2 linked regions of the Sus scrofa genome follow. The protein of the gene in region 1 binds, or shares a complex with, the protein of each later gene. Links are inferred from orthologs where the notes say so. Each region holds a gene or a part of one and is shown in the gene's direction. Other genes may lie near its edges.

Region 1 (3,797 bases):
TCATAATCAATTGTTTATTTGCCTTTAGGTCTATAGATCTTAAAAATAATGTCTACTTCTAAGCATTTTAGAATAAAGTAAAAATATTATTTTATTTTTGGTGACCAATCAATGTTATTACTCCCTCTTCCCTCTTCCCTCCGGTAACAAATAAAAGAACTTCCTTTCCTCTCCTTCCATACTTTCCTCCCCCCCTCCCTGACCTTCCTTCCTTTGGTGATGCATTTTAAAACTGCAGTGTGGTACAAAGGTATATTATGAGCCATTAAACGTTTGAAGGAAATTCACTGGTCTACAAAAATATTTCTTTTTTTTTGTTTTCTTTTGTCTTTTTACGGCTGCACCTGCGCCATATGGAGATTCCCAGGCTAGGGGTTGAATCGGAGCTGTAGCCACTGGCCTACAGCACAGCTGTGGCAGTACCAGATCCGAGCCATGTCTGTGACCTTCACCACAGTTTACGCAATGCCGGATCCTTAACCCACTGAGCGAGGGCGGGGATTGAACCTGCGTCCTCATGGATGCTAGTCAGATTTGTTTCCTCTGAGCCATGAGGGGAACTCCTACAAAAATATTTCTTGATAAAATCCATATACACACAACATAGAACAAAACTGATCGCAGTTTTGTTAAAACCACAATGAAAAATACTACCATGGAAAACAGATTGGAAGAAGATAAACATTTATAACAGTAGTTTATCTCTGGATGGTGGGATAGCAGTTGTTTTTTTTTTCCCCAAAAAATTTCTTTTTGTGTTTTTGTTTTTGTTTGGCTGAGCTGGGGATCAAACTTGTGCCACAGCCACTCGTGTCACTACTACAGTGACATTGCCAGATCTTTAACCTGCTGGGCCACAGAGGGACTCTCCTATATTTTCTAAATTTTCTATCATGAACATGAATTTATTATTATCTGAAATGATTTATATATTATTTTTAAAAATGTTGTATGTCTACCTTGAGCCAGGAGCATCAACATTTGTTAAGATGCCTGCCGCTTTGTGCTCAGCATTTTATCATTGTTATCTCACCTGATCCATGAAATAACTATATAAAGTACACTTAATTTTTTTTTTTCAGATAGGCAAATGGTGCTCAGTAAGATTAGGTAATTTACTCAAAGTCTTGCATCAAGTAAATGTTCTGTTAGGCTTAAAAACCATGTCTTTTTTTTCCGTTGAACCCGGTTACCTTTCAAGTAGTTCACAGCCTAATAGAGAAAGCAACTATATAGACTGAGAATTGCAAAGAATGTGATGTGTTATTCTATGAGTATGAACAAGGTACCCTCTTGGTCCAAAGGAGGGGTCATTAGTAGTTCCGGGGAAATGAAGAGATGCTTTACAGAGTGAGTGATACTTGAACTTAAAGAATGAATATGAGTTTGCCAGGAGAGCATAGTGGGGAAGAGAACGTCAGGTGGAAACACCATTTGCAATGACAGAGAGCATAGCATATTTAGAGACTATAAATAGATCAGTTTGAATGGACCATAGATAGACAGGAAGCTTTGGAGGGAAATCCTGGCTTTGTGAAGGAGAGCCAAATCATAAACAGCAGTGTGCATCAGGAGAAAAAGGACCTTACCTCACAGGATAGGCGTTTTTAAACCTACCTTTTCACTGCAGTACTCTTACTGTTGAGAATGAATGTATACCCTCCCCAGCTGGGTTGTAGGATCCTTATGAAAGAGTCGTATATAGTATTTGTGTTTTGAAAGTCACATGAAAATGCACATAAACAAGATAATTGAAAGGTATTTCATTTTATAATTAAAAAACACCTTTAAAGATAATACATATGATTTCTAATTTTTAATTTGGGTTCTTTTTATTTTATTTTGCAGTGTGAGATTCCTATCTCTAAGATCTTAACTGACTTTCCCACTCCTACATTTTATGATGTGTACATTGAATATACTGATGAAAATCAACACCAATATATTTGGGCTGTGCCTGTGTTAAACTTAAATCTTCAGCACAATAAAATATTTGTGAACCAAGGTAAGACATCCATCCACACCATTCTTTCTCTGAGCTGAAATCCATAAATAAGTCTACCAAGATAATAATTTAGTAAACTACAGATTATAAGAAAGGTCATAGATTCTCTCTGATTATAAGGTTTTTGTTTGTTTGTTTGTTTTTTGTCTTTTTGCCTTTTCTAAGGCCACACCAGCAGCGTATGGAGGTTCCCAGGCCAGGGGTCTAATCGGGTCTAATTGGGATCCGAGCTGTGTCTGCAACCTACACCACAGCTCACGGCAACACTGGATCCTTAACCCGCTGAGTGAGGCCAGGGGTCGAACCCGCAACCTCATGGTTCCTAGTCGGATTCGTTAACTACTGAGCCACAACGGGAACTCCCTAATTATAGGGTTTTATATAGCATGCCCAAAAGTAAAACAGTAAGGTTGCTGGTATATTCAGAAATTTTTGCTAACTGTGTCAAGCTTATTAAGAAATTATATTATTGCTAAAAGTGTATCCTGGGAAAAATTAGTAGAACTGTAAAATCAGGGCTTCTTCAAGCTGTCCTTGAGTTGATTTTTGGGCAAATTAGTTTCTTTTTTGTTCATCATGTTATAAAATCCTATTGGCTCAGGAAATTTGCAGGGATAATACTTCTAAACTGATGAAAAGTCCAGACACTTAGAAGACATTCAGGTACAGGTAGAGAAAGCCATGACCAGGAATTTCTTGCATCAGTAGCTATTTTTGCAACCATCTCATCTAAAACAAAGTGTACTAATGTCATGTTTTAAATTTGTGGAGTAAACTTCTCCTTGAGCGCCATCTTGAACAGTAGAAGATATTATTTAAATGCCATTTTTTTTCTTTTTTTTTAATGATAAAAGACAGCAACTCTGGCAAGTGGCTCCTGACTCGGCGTATCTTCTTAGTGGATGCACTAAGTGGACGAGAAAATGACTTAGGAAGTCAGCCACGATTAATTCGAGTTGCTACCCAAATCTCACTAAGGTAAACAATTGCACTAAATGAGGCTTGCTTCATATATGAAAATGTCATAGTGAAAGTGTTGATCCATAATTATCAGATGAAAACAATAACAGCAACTCAACTGGAATGATAAATAACGTGTTTTTAGATGCCTATGTAGATTAGTATGCACAAATAGAGGTGAGGATTATGTCACAAAAGCTGAAGGTGTTTGGCCAAAATTCACATTCTAGGCCCCACTGTAGGCCTGCTAAATTAGAATAGGTCAAGAATTTGGGGAAGGTGAAGATAAATGGGCTGACACGGGTGTTAGAAAGAGCCTGCCAGGTGGTTGCAAAAGGCAGGCCTCCTCTGGCTCCCTCTCCTTTAGCAGCTACTGTTCTGTTATTTTTCAATACCTCCCTCTTCCTGGGATACTTTACTGATGACCCTGCTTTCGGGTAGTGGCCTGCAGCCCTCCTGTCTCCTCCAGTGTGAGATTCCTATCTCTAAGGCCTTAACTGTTTTTCCCACGCTGATATTTTATGATGTGCACCTGGAATATACCCATGAAAATCAACACCCTCATCTTTCTGGCACTTCAACATATACTGTTTTTTCCCCTATCTTTTCATTTTGTTTTTCATAATAATTTTATGAGATAGTCACTACAGAAGCATTCTCATATACCTTGCTGAAGTCCCACTGTACGGTCTTTGGCACTCCTTCGGTCTGCTAATTTGGTATCCGTAGTGAAGACAAAATTGAGACTTGTCAGGCTTGACTTGATCTTGGTGAAACCATGCTGGCCACTGTGTTTGGCACCTTCCTTTTTGAGTTGATAAACTGTACATTA
Region 2 (4,326 bases), on another chromosome or scaffold:
GACTAACTGCAAGAAGCATTAATACACACATTTCACATCTAACACCAGAACTTACAGAAACAGCACTGCTCCCATCATTTTACACATTAGGCTACAATGAAACGTTATTTTGATCAGAGCTGTAACAATCATTAATTTTCCCCAAAGCTAGTATCTACATTTATGCTTAAATTAGGAAAGAGGAATGGATTTCGGTGGTAGAGACCAATATCTGAGACACCTCCCCCCCCCCCCATGAGGACGTTATTCCACGAAGGCTGTCTTCCAGCAGCTCTTCCTACTCCTGTATGTCATATCCACACCATCCCCTTACTCCTTCTTAACCTTAAACTTCAAAATATCTGTAGTTTTCCATGTGAAATGAATACTTATTATTTTTCTAAAATGTCTAAACAAAATGAAGAAAATTAAGCCATTATTAACACTTTGGTGAGCCTAGATTTGATTTTATGCTGTGCTTCTTTGGATGGAGGGTAAGCAATGGAAGAAAATCCGAGAATCGCCTGCGTCAACACACACACTCAAACCCCAAGCTAAACTTTGGGCTTGGTGGTTAAATGCGTCTCTGACACCAGGGATTGCGAAGCTTGGCCGCGCGGAGGCGGGCGGAGACCTGGGGAGGCGCCCTAGTCTGGCGCCACCAAGCCCCCGCCTCCCGCAAGTCCGAGAGACCTCTGCATCGCGGGGAAGCAGCCTCGGGCCCGCGGCAGTTGCGCCGAGGCAGCCCGGCGGGCACCAAGCCATGAGGGCCGACTCCGGGCTCGGGGTGGAGGAGGACCACCCGGTGAGCGGTTTAGGGCCCGTCGGCCTCTGCTCCACCCGGGCAGCTACCTCTGGGGTGAGGCGGACGGGATCGAAAGGGGAGAGCCCAGCTCCAGGAGCTCGCGCAGCAGCCCCTTCGGCGCTCACAGGATAGGCTTGGGGTTGGGGTTGGGGTTGGGGGCTGGAAATTCGTCCCAAGGCCGGACCCGAACTCCAAGAATCGGGTGAGGGGGCAGGCGTGAATTTTCCGGGGGCCTGGGTGCGCACGTTGCCATGACGACGCCTCACTTCTCAGCGGCCCCAGCCCTTGCGAGTTTCGGGGGCAGTCGACGAGGCCCTCCTTATTCACGCCCCTCGGAGGGCATTTAGCCGCCCGGGAATGAGATCGCCGTTTGCCAGTGGGGAACTTTCAGTCCTGGTCTTCTCTTACATTCCTGGAACAAATGTCCGCAACCACTTGGGAAATCATGGGGAAAACCGTGATTGCTACCCCGCGCCCGCTGGAGCCTCTCCTCCAGGGCACTTCAGCCCGGACTCCGATGCCCCCTTTAACGCCGGAGTAGACAGAAAAGGCCAGACAGGGTCCCCCACCCCGCTCCCCTTCCTTCCCATCTTGCTGGGAGGAGGCTGTGGGTCCTAGCGGCCTGGACAGCGCAGCCCGATGACGCATTGCGCCTGCGCGGGAGCGGGCCGGGCGGCGGTGAACCCTCTCCCGGGAGCCCACGGCCGCGGGGCATCCCGGATTTAGACAGGATGGGGAAGAAGCAAGTGGTAAGCCAGCTTTAGTTCCTTTTGAGTTTACTTGAGCCACCCACCTTTTGAGGAGCGTAGAGACTGACTTTCTGGATAGATGACACCTCATTTTTGCGGGACTTTTGAAATGTGGAGTTACCCTGTGAACTGAGCCCTTGGTTAGAACGCGGTCCTTAGCATCTTGAGAACAATAGCGCTTTCATGTGACTCTCTTTTTTTCCAGTTGAATTTTAACTGCTGGATAGTGGTAAGACCTTGTCCTAGTGTAGTAGCATTTGTATTAATACATCTTTTGAATGAATGGATAGCGAAATGGGACAATTGTGGAACAAACAATCGGAGTGTTTAAAATTTAACCCTTTTTAGTCAGTATCCTCTGCAAGCAGCTTGAGATACTTGCAACATTAAACTGCATTTTAGACATTTCTGTTGGTATTTTATTTTGAAAAATTCCAGAATGCCACTTAACTGTATTTTTTCTGAACTGCAAACACTTTTCTTTTTCATGTAAAGAAGTTTTTGTAAGTTTTTTTTTTTTTAATGCTTTCTGCCCTAAAATGTGTTCTTTACGCTGTGTTCAGAGAATTTTTTTTTTTTTTAATGTGTTACTCTGTGTCTTAAAAACCTCCATCGGTTTCCTATGGAATTAAAATAGAATCTAAGCTCCTTCCCTTGGTCTTCCTAATTAATCTGCCCATGCTTGGATAACTGCTTTTTCTTTACTGGCTTTCTTTTATCTGGAACTATTTAAGCCCAGTCTCCCCTAAAAGCCTTGTATTTGCTCCCTTTGGTTCCTTTCTTATTCAAATCTCAGCTGTAATATCTCAGAGAGACTTTCCCTAACTAAAGTAATACATATGATCATACACATTACTGTAATAACGTGCATGGTTTTATATATATTTATATATGCATATATATGTATACATACTGATATATGTGTGTATAAATATATTTAATGTTATCTTCTAATACTTAACCACTAGAATGTAATTCCAAAAAAGCAGGCATTTCTCTGTTTTGTTCATTAATGTATCCCTAATGCTTAGAACAGGCCCTGGCCTGTAGATAGTAAGGAATATAGGAAGGAAGGAATTTTTGTAAGAAATTTAGAAATGATAGATCAAATTTAAAATTGCCCATTTGATCCTCATCAGTGCCTCCTGGGCATTAACTGATGAACAGGGCTATCAAAAATGTGAGGTACATGAAGTAAAGATGTTCTAAGGCTTTACTTACAAGCCGTTTTCTTTTTCTGTTCCCCATAGCGTCCTCCACGGGCCCTTCCACCTGTGCCAAGGTAAAAGTAATTTGTAGTAATTTTATTATTGAATTTTAAAAACGTAAAATCAATAAAGTGAAACATATTGAGACTATACCATTACATAATTATGATAATTCAGAAAAGGCTTCCTAAAAATTTAAAGGTGGAAAATACTTGAATTATTGAAATAACAGTTATAATTAAACCTTTTGCATCAAAGATTGAATGTCCACATGTTAGGATAATGGATTCATTCGGAATGTTTTAGTGTCTTGTTTATCAGACTTCTGATCCTCTTTTGTTTGCTAGAATAGTTTCCTCAGAGTTTAAGCCGATTTTAGTCAGTGACAAAATAAGAGTTCTTAATCTGTTCAATCCACTTTATTATTAGACTGAAGGGAGTATGTATATGTAGGTTCAGAAAATATTGGGGTTATTTCGTTAGCCTTATTAAACAGCTTATTATAAATAATAAGCTAGTTTGTAAACTAGCTGAGTTTGTGTGGAAGTTAATTTTATTTTAAATTTGTAATGATTTAAGACAGTTTTCAATATGACCATGTAATAGATTTCTAATTAATAGAGTTTTTCTTTTTGTCTTTGTCCTGATTAAATTTGGTTGGTGTCATGTAAAGTGCTATTCAAGGTGAGTTAGTTCACTCAGTATAAAATTTTCTAAATACAGTATTTGATGTTTGTAAGTTAGTTTGATTTCTTAATTTCCTCTTAAAATTGAATCTGAATAGTATATATTGCTAAATCCTAGTAATCTTCTATGACTACCATTTAACTTTATTTATTTATTTTTGTATTTTTAGGGCCGCACCCAGAACATTTGGAGAGTCCCAGGCTAGGGGTCCAATCAGAGCTGTAGCCACTGGCCTATGCCACAGCCACAGCAACATAGGATCTGAGCTGCATCTGAGACCTACACCACAGCTCACGGCAACACCAGATCCTTAACCCACTAAGCGAGGCCAGGGATTGAACCTGTGTCCTCATGGATGCCAGTCGGGTTCGTTAACCCCTGAGCCACGACGGGAAATCCATGACTACCATTTTAAAATGATGATTGATATATAACAGTAGTTATATGGTCAATATTTGACCTTAAAAATAAAAAAGTATTCATCCCAGACTGGAGTCACCCAGAACATAACTGTTGGTTAAGCTGACAGTTCAATAATAGAGACTATATTTTCTTTCTTTCTTTTTTTTTTTTCATTTTTGGCCACCCTGTGGCGAATGGAGTTCCTGGGCCACGGATGATCAGATCTGAGCTGCAGTTTTGACTGAAGGGGCAGCTGTGGCAACTGTGGATCCTTAACCCCTTGTGCTAGGCCAGGGATCAAATCTGCGTCCCAGCACTCCCTAAACACTGCTGATCCCATTGTGTCACAGCAGGAAGTCCAGACTATATTTTCTTTTGTCTCATTTCATCAGAATAGACTGGGTTATGTCATAGTCGCCACCAAATCTCAGTGACTTAATATGTGGGGTTTTTCTGGTTAAAGCAAAGTCCGTTGCAGCAACAGTCTGGGATAGTT

What was found.
Region 2: TMEM67 (region 1) and TMEM237 share a complex: the UniProt entries of both Homo sapiens proteins name them as parts of the tectonic-like complex. The link is inferred for Sus scrofa from reciprocal best matches to the Homo sapiens genes TMEM67 and TMEM237.

Annotation. Positions count from the first base shown.
Region 1 is NC_010446.5:42,906,988-42,910,784, reverse strand, and holds part of TMEM67 (meckelin), read left to right. Parts: intron 1-1,848; coding exon 1,849-2,005; intron 2,006-2,859; coding exon 2,860-2,983; intron 2,984-3,797. UniProt on the Homo sapiens protein: Required for ciliary structure and function. Part of the tectonic-like complex which is required for tissue-specific ciliogenesis and may regulate ciliary membrane composition.
Region 2 is NC_010457.5:105,272,912-105,277,237, reverse strand, and holds the start of TMEM237 (transmembrane protein 237), read left to right. Parts: upstream 1-1,430; 5' UTR 1,431-1,515; coding exon 1,516-1,533; intron 1,534-2,783; coding exon 2,784-2,815; intron 2,816-3,414; coding exon 3,415-3,425; intron 3,426-4,326. UniProt on the Homo sapiens protein: Component of the transition zone in primary cilia. Required for ciliogenesis.